Nothobranchius furzeri: one gene and its partners. The protein of the gene in region 3 purifies or fractionates together with the protein of the main gene of each other region. This does not show direct contact. Links are inferred from orthologs where the notes say so. Each region holds a gene or a part of one and is shown on either strand. Other genes may lie near its edges. The genes, in order: prdx1, sod1, prdx5 and park7.

Region 1 (4,028 bases), on a different chromosome or scaffold from region 3:
TTACCTGCAGCCATCTTCAGTCAGACGGGATTACACCAGAAGGAAACGGCTGCGTTTACAAAACAAAGGCTCCATCAGACTTAGAGCTGGTACTGAACCATTTGTAGACAACTGTATCACATGTAAACCACCGATCTAGTTGTGTAATGTTACAAAAACACTAAACAGATGAGCAGACACCTTAAATGATGATCAGAATGATGACGGAGATGGGCTGTTTGATGAAAGCCATCAATTATCCAAGCAAAGCTCTAATCTAGCAGCAACAGATCTTCCATGTGAAACGTTTTCAGATTAGGCAGAAATTATATTCTGATAAGTATATTTGGTTAACTTGGAATTAGGGATGAGCCGGATACTAGTTTCAGACGAGTATCCGGTACGGATAAAGCATTTTTGACGAATACGAGCATGAGACGAGTAAACCTCGTAAATATCTGTAATCGTGCTGAAGGAAAATCCTCATTGGGTAACTGACTGTCTTCACACTCTGATTGGCCTGTCACATAGAGCGCCCGCCCCTCCCTACACACAACTCTCTAGCCGGCCGGGAGCACAGTCCGTCCGGCTCATCCACACACACACACACACAGACAGTAACGGATCTCGCTGTGCTTGCTTCACTGTTGCTCACGTTTCTTCAGTTTTCCCTAGGTTTTCTTCAGCTCGCCTCTTTTTCGGTTGAATATTTAAAGTTACTTTTTTCGTAACTTCCATGGTGCATTTGACAAGACAGAGCTGACGTGCTGCATCAGTCACTCACTACGGGTTTTTTTAAAAAATTTTTAACTCCCTCCATCTCTCTCCCTCTCAATCTCTCTCAGACACACACACCTTAATCAACATTGTTTTGTTTAACTTTGTGTGGGAAAATGCCAAGAACATTAAGAAAAAAATCAGTTTAATCAAATTAAATTAAAAATATACATAAAGTTGTGTCTGGTTCTAGCATTTCATATTTCCTAGTTCCTGCTGCATGAGTTCAGATGTATTAATCCATGCACTTAAATATTAATGTTCTGATTTTATTGAAACACTTGTTTTGTAATAGTTCCTTTACTATTGTGATCAAAAATATTTAATCTCTAGTCTGAGGCTGCTCTGTAAATAGTTTTCAAATAAACAATACACATAGCAACTTCTGATCATTCCATATCAATTTCAAACTTAAAATAATATATTGATGTAAACCACACCCACTTCCGGGTTATGCCACGCCCATTCCGAGTACAGATACAGATAGTGGTGTACTCGCTCATCCCTACTTGGAATCAGAGTTGCACTGACAGGTCTGGGATCTGAGCCAACCCACAAAACCAGGTCATTATTTTACTCAAATGGTAAATGGCCTGTATTTGATATAGCGCCTTCCACGAACCTCCCTGAACCGTCTACAGGTGGTTCAGAACGCCTGTGCTCGGCTTCTGACCAAGTCCTCCAAACACACCCACATCCCCCCGCTTCTCCTCCAGCTTCACTGGCTGCCAGTCAACTTCAGGGTTCATTTCAAGATCCTGGTTCTGGTCTACAGGGCCTTACATGGACAAGCACCATCTTACATTGGTGATCTTCTTAGTCCCTACACCCCCAGCAGGTCCCTGAGGTCCAGTGATCAAAGCCTACTGGTTGTGCAGCACCAGGCTAAAGGTCAAAGGTGACAGATCATCTGCTGCTGTGGCCCCCAGACTCTGGACCTCTCTCCCCCTGAGCCTGAGATCAGTGGACTCAGTGGTCTCCTTTAAAAAGCAGCTGAAGACTCACTTGTTCAAGCTGGCTTTTGTATGACCTTCTTCACCACTCTCTCTTTATTCTGCTCTCCCCACCTATTCCACCTTCCTCAGGATCCACTGGTTTCCCTCTTTCCTGTTCACTCTCTCTCTTAACATTTTTTAATCACAATTGCCTATTTTTGCTCATTTTAAATATATTTTAAACATTTTCTAAATGCTTTTTTATATTTTTACAATTTTTGTTCTTGTGAAGCGCCTCGTGATTTTTATCTTGAGACGCCTCCAGTGTTAATGGCATTTCTACCCCCCAAGGCGCTTTACAACACAATCAGTCATTCACCCATTCACACACACATTCACATGATAATTTTTTTCTGTTTAACTATTGACTGCTAAAATAGAACCAATAAATCTTTTGAAAATTCGCTCATAAATAATCTTTCTGTCCTGTAAACATAAGCCATAAACACTGGAGGCGTCGCTTTTAAATTTAATTAATGATTCTTCCAACTTTTTAGATCTTATGCTGTGGATTCAAAAGGGATTAAAGTAAATACTTCCATAACCTATATGATGTAAAAGCATGAGGTCAGGCCAGGTTACCAGCAGCACTTCCACTTCAGGTGTTTCCGTATTCACCTTTTAGTCACGAACAAGGTGTTCATTACGGTGCTGGAACGTACGACTATGGCGGTGAAAGCCACAGATTTACGTTAACTTTGCCTTTAGCCTAGAGAAGCTGCCTTTAAACGTGAACACTTGAGTTTTCCAAACGAGTAGCAGGAGATTTGAGAATTAGACAAGGGGGAAAAAAACCACTTGTTGAACCAAAATGTCACTTCAGACACTAATTTAACGCCTTACATTCTAAAAACTAATCTATAAGAAAGACAAACTCCTAAAACCGAACGTTTTATGGCACATACCTGAGATAAGAAACCAAAGCCTCCACGGACAACGAGTAGTACACGACCCGAGAGGCTCGACGCAGACTTTTATACCACCGCCAACGTCTCGCGAGATGAGAGGGAGAACGAGAACTCTAGCTCGGATCACTTCTCCATCCATCCTCCTCAGGTCCACACAACGTAGAATGACTTTGCATTTTCCTTATCGCTATTCTGTAAATGCTCTTGTGAAACTCCAAACCAGACACGTGGAGGAAGAATGAGTTTTATTTCAGACTCCACGTTTAAGGAAACTGATTTTATTACAATTGAAGAGAACTGGTTTTGGTTATGTTCCTCCTTGCTGCTCTTTTCCTTCATATGACCGAACAGATTATATCCAGAATCATCAATGAATAAAACATCCATGCCACTGTCAGAGACCAGTGGGTCATGAGTGACTCGTGTAATATATGCGTTTCTCTGTGAGCCCTCTGCCGCGATGACTGAGAAATTTCACTTTAGGGAAATATATTTTTTATCTTTGTAGATTTAGGCCATCATTAGACAATAACTACATGATACTTCGGTGAAACCATTTTCTCAAGAACATAGTCTGTTCGTTTCTCATTTCCTCTTTCCTCTCGTTTATTTACTGAAACAGGGAACATCAGTCTTTTCGGTGGAGCAGTTTTTTGAAAAGAGGAAGTGTCACACTGTTGAAACACCTTAGGACACAGATAAAAACAGCTGATCGATGGCGTAAGTGAAAGTGCTACATTGACTGAGGTGATATTACCAGTTGGAGAAATGAATAGACCAGTTTTAACACTACCAGCTACGTTTTAAGCTGCTGGTGGTGTCTATCTATCATCTAGAACAGAATCACCAACCTGGTGCCCCCAGGAACCTTCTTGGTACCAAGCCCCCACAATGCGGCTCAAAAATTGAGTCCAACCCAGAAGTACCAAAAAATGCAGTTCCACCCTCATCCACTAGGGGCTGGTGTCAGAAGCGAGCAATTCCTCATTGACTCCCATGTTAAAAATACCAATTTCACAGCAGAAATAAACATGTTTACAGCCTGGTACCAGAACATGTTTTTGGTTTAAATGATCTAGTTTACACTCATGACAACTCTGAGGGGGGTGAATTTTTTTCTCACTCTTCTGTTTAAAGGGACTTTACGGAGTTTTGAATTTTTATGCTCACGATTGCCCCCTCAGGCCAAAAGCGTAATGGCAGCTTCAATAGAAGGCTCGTGCACAAGGCGTGCATGCTGTACGTGCACACTCCTTAACGAAAATAACAGCTGAGACAGTCAGCTCCGTGTGTGTGTGTGTGTGTGGCCCGGAGGACAGAGGACAGGAGAACGCACAGCTAATTAATTAAATAATTTGGTTCTGTACCT
Region 2 (3,677 bases), about 9.9 Mb from region 3:
ATTTATATTAAAATGTTATTCATGCAAGAGCAGGTTCGATTCTGTAATTTGGCAAATTTTTTGCATAATTAGCCAATTTTGTCAGAAATATTACTGAATAAATTTTTTGAACATTGCTAAACAAAAGTATTTGCTTTGGTAGGACTTTGGATAGCTTAATATCTAAACTAAATTAGGACTCCTGCTCTGAGCTTTGAGGAATAATCCATCAAAATCTAATTTAACCCTTTGATGAATGAATTATGAAATCTTCAACCATGATTTTTTAAACATTGTTTCATCTTTAGGTGTGAATGAAACAAATTTCAGCAAATAGTAATATTGTTAATTTACAAATAATTTATTACATGTCCAACTCAGTGGACAGCGTGCATTCTGAACATAAAATATGTTGGCTTGGCTTACTGAAGTCCAAATGAGGGGCTCAATGCAATAAAATCTACAACAGCTGTGCTTAATAGCAAAAAATAAATAATTTTGAATATCTGTCCACTGTAGTGACCATTATGCAGCAAAGGGTTAAAAAAAACACAAGACTATTTACATCATTTGAGGCATTTATGTTTTTTAATAACACATCTGGAAGTTTGTGCGCTACAAAGTCTTGAGTCCTAGTCAGTGGACATAAACCTACTCAAACAATTTAATTAGAAAGGAAACTGGGCAGAAAACAGGTTAACAGAACGCCACAAAGTACCGAACTGGACCGTTTCATTAAGTAGCCGTGTTGGTCTCTTGGGGAATATAGCTTATCCAGTGCTTTTACATTGCAGATTTACTGGGCGATGCCAATAACGCCACAGGCTAGACGAGCTCCAGCATTTCCAGTCTTCAGGCTTTCTTCGTTTCCTCCTTTTCCTAGATCGTCACGCTTCTCGTGGATCTAAAAATAAGTAGTTTTACATAAGCTACATTTTTATTGGGGACAAATTTAGACTAAAATCCTTAAAAAAAATAAAATTAAACAAAAAGGGAGGATCACAAGCCCAGATGAAGACGTACCACCATGGTTCGACCAATGATTGAGAGAGGTCCTGAGAGTTTGATGACGCTGTCTGTGATGTTTATCTTGGCAACATTCCCTTCAGCAGTCACATTCCCCAGGTCTCCAACATGTCTGATAAAAAAAAAAATTGTATCAGATTATAATATATTACAGTCAAACTTTATAAAAACAAAAGCATATCAAATACAAATAAGTGAATAGGTAAAAGTGATCCAGCTTCTCATGAGGGACTCGCCTTTCTTCATCTGCAGGACCGCCGTGATTCTTGTCAAAAGGATTGAAGTGAGGCCCCGCGCTAATGCAACCTGGTAATAAGTAAAGGTAAATATTACAACTCTGGGAAGCTTTTATGACAGCAAGCAAGTGCACCTAGATAGGAAATGTTAACAGTTAACTGAAAATTTGGGGGGAAATGTGGAAAAACATGCAATTTCTCACCATTTGTGTTATCCCCATATACATGGACGTGGAAACCATGTTCACCATCAGCAAGGCCACTGATTTCCCCAGTCACTTTAACAGGGGCCGATTCATTCTAGGGGACACAGGCGGTCATGATAATGTAAGTAAATATTATCACGCACGTATAACAGAAAAAAGTCAAAGAACTTTGCAGGCAGGAATAAAAATACTACAGAAAAGTTTAGATACGTCATGGTCAGACGGTAGAGAGTGACTCAGCAGAATTTTAGGGAGGAAATCGTGTTTGTTTTGACTTTAATGGCTGCCTCTGTGCAGCGATGTCTCCGAGCTGCTTTGTGATGACAAAAGAAGAAGAAGCTGCTAAAAACAGGAATTATGAGTGACTGTGGTGAGAGATCCCTCCTGGGGTCACTGAAGTCAACATTACCGTTGGTGAGACGACTGAAAATTACGCAACAAGCGTGTCCACTGTTAATTATTACCATTCTGCAGACTATAAAAGGTTAAAGGTTATATTTTAACTAAACATTTTTCCATTTCAACCACGACAGCCACGTCGTGCCAGCACGAGTAGAAATGTTTGAATTCAAAGTGTTATCTAGAACTTGCTGCACGCGCACCTAACATTTCTACGGTTCGTTGAGCAACTAGTTATCTAATTGCATATGAATTGTTTTATAAACTAAGAAAATCAGAGCAGATGTATCAAATATTCCACTATCTGAAAGTCTGAGGTGTAAATATGTCGCTAACTGCCAAGTTAGTCAAGAGCTCCTCTAAAAATGGATGACATACTTATGTTAGCTAGCTTAGCACAAGACAACTACGGCATCCGTATAGTGTTTAATTAAGTTGAATTTTATGTCCTCTTCGCGGACTACAACCTCGTTCACTTCGTGCATACTGTGACATCTTACCTCTTGCTCAAAGTGAACGGTCCCGGCTGTTTTGTCAGCTCCCTTCAACACACACACAGCTTTCACCACCATCTTTGCAGCAACTCACGAGTAACTATCGCGTCACGTGCCCCCTCGAGAGTCACATAAGAACGTCTCAAGTGGGCGGGTTAATTCAGTGATAGCCAATGAGAAAACGCGTGGTTTAATTGGCTGGCAGGAAGCACGCATATATGTCGATGATCAACACATTTGTCTGCGTTCATGTTTTGGCAGTTTCGTTCTTTAAATGTTATTTATTAATAAGCTTAGTTTATAGTTGATTAAATCTCGTATGATTGTAAAACATACAAAATAATTATAAATATTGAAATTACTCTTTTTTAGTGACTGCGATAGATAGATAGTTAGATAGATAGATAGATAGATAGATAGATAGATAGATAGATGGATAGATGGATAGATAGATATAGATAGATAATACCTTTATTAGTCCTACACTTGAGAAATTTCATCGTTGCAGCATCGACAGTACAGTCAGAAAAGCAGGTAAGATTAAAAAAAACATAATTTTATTTAAAAAAAAAACAGTAATATTAAAAAAAACTAACAAGAGAAAACCACAATCTTCCTCATTCAACAGCCAGCTGCAATGGCCTCATAAAATCTAAAGCCCCATTCCCACCTGTACCGGGTCGGCCCGGGCCGGGTAGCATAGGTTGTTTACATATCTGGGTGGCCTGGAATTTTCCCGGGCCAACCAAGGCTCATTCTCGGCCCTCTTCCCGAGGGGTACTGCTTCAGGCCGACCAGGGCCAACACACCCACTGCTGACAGCAAATTCACACCTTCCATTAGAGCAAGCCTCTGATTGGTGGGTAGAATCAACCCATTCACACCTTCCATTAGAGCAAGCCTCTGATTGGTGGGTAGAATCAGCCCACATGGGCTTAAGGCAAGGATGTGTGGAATCAACCGGGCCAGGCTGGGGCCGACTGGGGCTACCCGGCCCGGGCCGACCCGGTACAGGTGGGAATGGGGCTTAACCGCTGCTGGGAGAAATGGTCTTCTGAACCTTTCCCTCAGCGGTGTGGATGCAGCAACCTGCTAGTGAAAGAGCTATTCAGTGCTGCCAGAGTCCAGTGCATGGGGTGGGAGATGTTATCCATCAGAGAAGATAGCTTGGCCACCATTCTCCGCTCAGTCACCACCTCCACTGGGTCCAGAGGGGCTCCAAGAACGGAACTGGCCCTCTGGACTAAGCGAGTCTTGATTAATTTGTACCGTATTTTTAAAGTTATTTGAATTTTTTACACTACTTATGCAGAAAAATAACTGACTTGTATTCTTTT
Region 3 (4,316 bases):
GATTAAATTCTATTTTTTACCGAACTGAGTTTTTTTGACGTTGCTTTATTTTGTGTGTGATCCTGGCTGTAAATTTCTGTGTAGGCTTTTTTTTTCATTTAGATGAAGCCATTTGATGTCCTTGTCTAAACTTGTTCACATTAAATTCACTGTGAAAAAAGTGAAATCTTCCGCTGTCTGGTGGAACAGGGAGTGGATCCTGTAGGTGCTTTGTGCTGTGTAATAAATGGACACACCGCCACATGTCAGTGGGCTCATCAATACGTGTACATTTATGTGTTTGTGTTGTATTTTTACATTTGAATACGGTCATGACCACATATCACCTCTGGACGTTGCTTTGAATTTGAAACAAATGTGTAAAATGTTTAGTTTGTGTCAAGAAGCTAAAAAGTTCCATAGTTACTAAAATGTAACTGCTATTTTATAAAAGAAACTGAAATCTGAAAAGTTGGAAGTAAAAAAGACAGACATTTCTGAGGGAAACATAACGGGTGTAGTCCAATTAGAGATCACACTTGTGTGAATAATGGTCCAGTACCATGTCTGTAAAAGAAACTGAATGGAACAGAAAATAACTATTTTCTCAGATCAAACAAGTTTTAACTCAACAGTGGGAAAAAATGACTTTTGTAAACTTACAACAGATCATTTGACTTGGAGCTTATTTTATCTATCCCGCAAGTTTCTGTGAAGCCCTCTTTCTGCCACTTCAAAAAGACACGGTCAATTATTTTTTATTCATGATTTTAAATAAAATCACTGAGTCATTACTATAAGCATCAAAATCACATTTGTGATTCAACACTATTATGAGATGCACTAATAATTATTACAAGATGCATTATGGCTGTCATAATTATTAGACAAAATGATTACTTTCAAAATCAATGAGGAGGTTATTCTGAAAATAGTCATAAGTATTGCATAAAAAGTAACAATTATGAATTTGAAAATAAGTTGTAAAACATTCACATTTAGTTCATATAAATTTATTACTTTCCTGACCATAAACTTCTATGTTATATTTATTACAATAGTCATAATTTCTAATAAAAATTAATGAATAATAAATATTAATTTAGAAATATTAAAAAATGATTAGATACAAAGCCTGTGGTGTAGTTGTAAACCCGATTTTTGAGATAAAAAATTATAACTAGGATTTTCAAACTCAAAACTATGATTGTTTACAACCATACAAATATTCCATTTACAATAGAATTGCTTTGATATAGTCCTTTAACATTAATCAGAGTTGGTCAAAATAGGTATTTACTTATCGGAGCTGTACCAAACCCAAATCTGTGCACGTCTGATAACAATAATAATAATCAAACACATACATTTTATCGCGTAAGAGTGAGTTTAGTGATACACATGACTTAAAATCATAATAATTGACTTTGCTTATCAGATACCACGTGACCGTGTTGGTAAAGGGCTTCCGTAGTTTCCCTTGCGTTTCTTACAGAAGTCTGCAAAAGCCCTTGCAAGTGTATGTTGTCTTAAATCAACAATTGTTCCGTTTTATGCCCCCTTTAGCTAAACCAGTCCAGCCAGACCTTGGGTTTCCTGCTTAGCAGATGGCACAGTAAATAAAGACTTAGCCATCAGTTTGCAGGATAAATTTAAGTCCTTCCGTTCTAGCTCAAAGTAGGACGTCGCTGCTGTGTCTCAAGAGATAGCGAGTGAGTCAGACGTCGCTAAACACCAGGGACTAGCTTAGCTCCACATTCCAGCAGGTTATGCTCTTCATCACAAACTCTCTTCTAAAAAACATATAGTATCCGGCTGCTGCACTTCTCTCCAGTCACCAAAATGCCGATTCAGGTAAAAAAAAATAAGCTAACGTTAGCTAGTTGGTTTGTCCTTCGAGCATTCGGCAACGGTTTATCTTCATTATGTTTGTATCTGTAGCAGTCTATGCTAATGAGCCGCCATGACAGCAGTTTGCATGAATTTAGTTTATTGTTTGATTAAATCATAGTAGCAGCTCGTCGTGATTTGAGCACACCTCTTTCACCTATATCACTGAGTTGACTTTACATTTGATAAGATCTGTGCCATCACTCTTTTATAACATTGTTCTAAATTATTGCTGCGCATGTTGCAATTTTACTCCCTGAAAGTGTTCGGACTAAGTGTGTAAAGGAGAAATTGTAATGTTAATCCGTAATGGTAACATCTCTTCACGGTGAAATTTGAATTATTTATTGAAAAGTTTGTAAAACAGGCGTTCATGTTATTTTATGCAAATTTTCATTTATGGTGATTTTTGCCATCTAGTGGCCATTTTACAGAAACGCTCATTTTTTTTGCTTTATCTAAATTTCAGTTTACACTAGAGCTGGACGATACAGAAAAAAAAGGTGTATCGATAAAAAATATTATTGATCGATATCAATAATTATTGAAAACTATATGAGAAATGTAGAAAATATATTTAAGTGCAGCCCTGACCATTTTATGTAATCACTTAACAATAAAACAAGTTGGTTGCGTTATCAGACTTGGTTTTTATTGATTCTCTGCACATTTTGCAAACCACTGTTGTTTGTTTTTTTGTCAGACTTGTAAGAATGAAAATATTGCCACACTGGTGAACTATTGTAATCTTTTTTGGGACAATTTCTTCCACCTCTCCTTGCTGCAACATCTCCTCACATTGCTGTCTGATTAGGTTTGTAAGGGGAGGGCTTGGTGATGAAGTGTGCTTGGGTCTGTGCTTTTGATCAGTTGGGTGCAAGGAATAACTAGTATGAAGCTACCCGATAGGCTATAATGGAAAAAACAAACTTTTTCAATTTTTTTCTGTTGAATCACACGTCTATTGATCGATATATATCGTTATCGAATAATTGTCCAGAACTAGTTTACACACAGTTGTTATTATGTTCTCTTTCTGGTTAATTTATCTTATAAAAATACATTTCTTCTTACATTCTGTTATTGAAATTTTTTATCTCTGATTCTGTTTTTTGCTATTGGTTTCTGCAAACATTTGATGTTTCAGTTCAGTGTTGCAAAAAAGGGATTTGCACCTGTACATGTTCCTTCTATTTTTTTTTAACTATTAATTCAAAGTTTTTCATAAACAAAAAAGTTTCATCAAGTTATTTCCAGAATTTCATTCACTGTGACATTAGGAAAATAAGTAACTTCATCTCATTCATCTTCAGGTTGGTGAATCTCTTCCTGCGCTGGAGGTCCAGGAGGGTGAGCCTGGGAATAAAGTGGCAATGGATCAACTCTTTAAGGGGAAAAAGGGGATTCTTTTTGCCGTGCCGGGAGCTTTTACTCCTGGCTGCTCTAAGGTGAAGCAACACTAAAAACGCTGCATGTCCCAACCTCTACGGTGAGTTTTGCATCAGCTGACTTTGTATTTCATGTGTTGCTTTTCAGACTCACCTCCCAGGTTTTGTGCAGCAAGCTGAGGACTTAAGAGGTAAAGGGATCCAGGAGATAGCATGCATTTCTGTCAATGATGCATTTGTCATGGCTGCATGGGGAAAAGAGCACGGAACAGACGGCAAGGTATAAGCTGCAAATTTACATTTAGCATCTATTGCAGAAAAATCTACATGTTGATAAGACTTGTATTTTTAAAGTAATTTAAAATTCACATTTATATAACAGATTTAGAAAAATTTTGATTGCTTTTATGTACAGGTTCGAATGCTGGCTGATCCCACTGGAGCATTTACAAAAGTAAAAATGAAAAGATCATGTGTTTGTCAGGTTAGCATCAAGCCTCGTGACTCTGTTCTCATCAGCACTTTTGTTTCTGCTCACTAGGCAGTCGACCTTGTTCTTGACAGTGATCAGATTGTGCAGGTACTGGGTAACAAGCGTTCCAAGAGGTAAGAAAAGACTGTAACATGAGTTTGGAGCTTTATTTTTCAGCTAAAGGTTTTCACAAATCACTTGAACAAGAGTGTGGTGTCGGATATTAACCAGGAGTATTTGCACCTCTGCTACTTAGCTTTTTTCATGGTGCAGAGTTCAGTGATAACATCAGTATTTGCATAACAGCTTGAGGACAGAGTGTCCTGTGTTTATTATTTTGAAGCCACCTATTTGCAGATATTTTAAATGTCATAAATTGTATTCCAAATCCAGTGTGCTCTTTGTTTTTCAGATATGCAATGCTGGTGGAAGATGGGGTTGTGAAGAAGATCAACGTGGAGCCGGATGGCACTGGACTGACCTGTAGTCTCTCCTCCAACATTCTAACTCTGCTGTAGGCTTATGCTGAGCTTATTAAACCAAAATTACTGACCTTGAGTTGTAGTGAAAGTTGCACCAATAAAGCT
Region 4 (3,060 bases), on a different chromosome or scaffold from region 3:
GTCGGGGTACTGTCAATCCAGTCTGTTGGAGACTGCAGCGAACTTTACGCTCGACACTCTGCGAGCTAATCTCGGCTAAACTAGCCCTGTTGCGGAAACACTCCCCCACTAATGACAACGCACATATGCAGATTGGTGCGGTGCGACGAACCATGTGGTTTGTTTATTTGACCGTGACTACCGCCGCGTTAACAATAACTGGCAGCAGGTTTATCTAATAACTAATGCGGGAAAGAGGTGCGGGTACTAAGCCACGCATTCACGTCTGTGAGTAAAAGAGAAACCCCAACAGTCCTACCTTTCTACAAAATCCCTTCTCTTGGTCTTTCTTCTTGTCTGTGATGAGGACCGTCTGGATTTTCGGACACACCACGCGCTGATTACCAAACACCGCCCACTGGCTAACACGACACGTAATTGGTCAATTACAACTCAACTGCAGACGAGCCGAAGCTCTTCATTGGTCATAAAAGCTGCCAATCTTTCTGGACTCGTCTTCCCGCGTTCCTGCTGTTCAGCAGCCTATATTTAGGTGAAATAAAAACAATGACCTGCAACTTCAGATTGCTTTATTTTCAGGTGGCACAACAGTAGCGGTCAAAACAATCAAGTAATTCGTGAAAATAGTTGTTTTATTTCAGATTTTCCTTTAGTACCCATCTTACTGTAATAAGGTGCATTTGACATTTTAAAACAAAACATGTTAGAAAAGAAATCCTCATGTCTAGTTAAGAAAATGTTTCACTTTCATGTCCAGTGGCAGAAGACCTGACTCGGGTATTGTGGGTTTTTTGTTAATCAGGCAGTGCTTTTAGCACAGTTGTAAATAAATTAGTCTTTCATAATAAGAGGAGCTTTGACTTGAGCTGCAAAGTCACCCCCCAAAACTTCTTCCACAATGGCCAGGGCAAACTCAAAGCTGGTTCCTGGCCCACGGCTGGTGATGTAATGTCCATCCTTCTGCACTCGAGCCTCTGAATATTTATAGTGGTCTAAAAAAAGACAAAGAGCAATACCATAAGGATGATGGAGATCCAAAAGCTAGCAGCAACGCATTTCAGATCTAATAAGTCCTCCAAACACATCCGCACAAAGATAACTAGTCAACATTTAAATAGACCTGGTTCTTACACGTTCTGTCAAAATCCTGCACCCACTCTCACCTCAGAGCGGCGGGCGGTGCTCTCCAACTGCTGCTGACATGATTCTCCGAAGGCAACTAAAAGCTATTACAGCACCATCTGCTGCTTTTCACCAACACTTACAAACTCTCCCACTGATAGCTGTAATAGTTTATTTAAAAGATGCTCTAATATTTATTGATTTTTACCTCCAGCCATCATCTTCTCCTTCATGGCAGGATGTGTGGTTACTGTGCGGCCGTAGCCGACGCCATGGGCCAGGAGAGCAGTAGGGCCTGAAGAAGTGCGAAGCAGATTAAGGTTTCTTTTATAACCTCCTGTTAGATAACACACATTTTCTTTTCATAGTGAAAAAGACAAAAGGCTGCTAACTGGAAGTATCTCCTCCTTAAGCTCAGCACAGAGAAAAACAGATGTATGAAATTCCACCGAATGTTGCATATTTAGATTATGGATTTCAGTAAATAATAAATGAATGAGACACATAGAAAATATCTGATAACACTTGTGTCCTAAAAGTGTCCTCAACCCTATTGTTGGTTCTAATAATAAACTCACAAAGTGTACAGTTTCAGGTTTTTGCTAAAGCATCTGCAACACGTTAGAGAAAAGAAATAAGGAGAGGCAGAGGACGCAGACGATTGCTGCTGAATTAACTTTGGTGACGTCTCCGCACTGCTCGTCCAAAACCTGTTAATAAATAGAAAGTTATTGATCACACTCCTTTGGCTGCCTTCCAGTGCAGTCTCAAGATTACACTTTCCTCTGGCAGAACAACAGACTGCCATTCAAAGCTAAACGACTCCTGTTACGAGTCTCCACCCAGTTAGGGACACGAAAGAGTCAGACGGTGGAGAAAAAACAAGACGAATACCACGTTTTTACTATTTGAACACTGAGGAACAAGATTGCAGTTCTGAGGAATCTAGTTGAAAACGTGCCAGGTTAAGATGTCGGAACAATGAGTCTTGCAGCGAGCACGCTTGCCGTTTCCATTTAAGAGAATATTCCTGTGAGGTTTTCACTCGTTTCTAGGACACCTTTCAATCTGCTTTGCTGCACTGGTTCCCTGACCCCATTTCAACTGTATTTCATGTGTCCTTTCTCTGCTTATGAAAGCTGTCAAATACAGAGGGTGCGGGTTTACTCAGGGACACAATCAAGTACACAACCTTTCACGCAGAATGACAAGGAGGGTTCAACCTAAAAAGTGTTGCAAGAAGAGAGTGAAGTATTTTTCAATATTAAATTCTCAGGTGACAAAGAGTTATGGTTTGAATGCCTTGCGACTATTCTGCTGCCTCCGTTCACTCCTTTCTTGGGTAAAAATGCCACATTAATGTTTTATTTCCACAAATAACACAAGCCCAAACATGTTGTGTACTTGCTAATAGTTAGCGTCAACAAGCCGAGACACACTCCGCTTTTTTTTGCTGCAAGATCAATACAGCCTTCCAGTCGGCAGCCATAAGGGATGAATTAATGAATGCAAATTTCCAAAATGACGTAAATCTGTGTGGCTTTTTCTGGTCCGAGTATTCCCCCATCTATTTTTATTTCTGCGGCTAATTCAGAATGAACATAATGGGAAATTTTTCTTCAAATTACTAATACGGGAAGCAGGCAAGAAAAAGGGTTAGAAACAGTGGAGTTGCTCAGGTTAATGGGAGACATACAGGTATGCTGATGGTCTGTTATGGTGACTCGCTAGTGGCCCCATCAGCTTACTGTCAGAGGAACATCTTCTGTCTCCATTTGCTAATATTTCTGAACTGAAAATCATTGTTTCACGCTCAAGTCTTTTGTTGTCTCTATATCAGAAAGTAAGGCTGCACCACATTGCGATATTAACTACCGAGTTACAGCGTGACAGCACAGCCACAAAGTTTTTTGTCAAGTTTAGCTCCCCAGCCCCAGT

Evidence for each region.
Region 1: the proteins of prdx5 (region 3) and prdx1 fractionate together in Homo sapiens (co-fractionation; 3 studies listed by BioGRID). This does not show direct contact. The link is inferred for Nothobranchius furzeri from reciprocal best matches to the Homo sapiens genes PRDX5 and PRDX1.
Region 2: the proteins of prdx5 (region 3) and sod1 fractionate together in Homo sapiens (co-fractionation; 3 studies listed by BioGRID and IntAct, with this or other methods). This does not show direct contact. The link is inferred for Nothobranchius furzeri from reciprocal best matches to the Homo sapiens genes PRDX5 and SOD1.
Region 4: the proteins of prdx5 (region 3) and park7 fractionate together in Homo sapiens (co-fractionation; 3 studies listed by BioGRID). This does not show direct contact. The link is inferred for Nothobranchius furzeri from reciprocal best matches to the Homo sapiens genes PRDX5 and PARK7.

The regions. Positions count from the first base shown.
Region 1 is NC_091751.1:68,306,450-68,310,477, forward strand, and holds the start of prdx1 (peroxiredoxin-1), read right to left. Parts: upstream 2,804-4,028; 5' UTR 2,657-2,803; intron 88-2,656; exon of another isoform or gene 50-87; 5' UTR 15-49; coding exon 1-14. UniProt on the Homo sapiens protein: Thiol-specific peroxidase that catalyzes the reduction of hydrogen peroxide and organic hydroperoxides to water and alcohols, respectively.
Region 2 is NC_091750.1:63,537,661-63,541,337, reverse strand, and holds sod1 (superoxide dismutase [Cu-Zn]), read right to left. Parts: upstream 2,498-3,677; 5' UTR 2,419-2,497; coding exon 2,347-2,418; intron 1,542-2,346; coding exon 1,445-1,541; intron 1,312-1,444; coding exon 1,242-1,311; intron 1,118-1,241; coding exon 1,003-1,117; intron 884-1,002; coding exon 776-883; 3' UTR 546-775; downstream 1-545. UniProt on the Homo sapiens protein: Destroys radicals which are normally produced within the cells and which are toxic to biological systems.
Region 3 is NC_091750.1:53,604,238-53,608,553, reverse strand, and holds the start of prdx5 (peroxiredoxin-5, mitochondrial), read left to right. Parts: upstream 1-1,515; 5' UTR 1,516-1,821; coding exon 1,822-1,833; intron 1,834-3,182; coding exon 3,183-3,317; intron 3,318-3,405; coding exon 3,406-3,537; intron 3,538-3,672; coding exon 3,673-3,711; intron 3,712-3,798; coding exon 3,799-3,863; intron 3,864-4,141; coding exon 4,142-4,247; 3' UTR 4,248-4,316. UniProt on the Homo sapiens protein: Thiol-specific peroxidase that catalyzes the reduction of hydrogen peroxide and organic hydroperoxides to water and alcohols, respectively.
Region 4 is NC_091743.1:63,722,274-63,725,333, forward strand, and holds the end of park7 (Parkinson disease protein 7 homolog), read right to left. Parts: intron 1,418-3,060; coding exon 1,331-1,417; intron 993-1,330; coding exon 832-992; 3' UTR 553-831; downstream 1-552. UniProt on the Homo sapiens protein: Multifunctional protein with controversial molecular function which plays an important role in cell protection against oxidative stress and cell death acting as oxidative stress sensor and redox-sensitive chaperone and protease.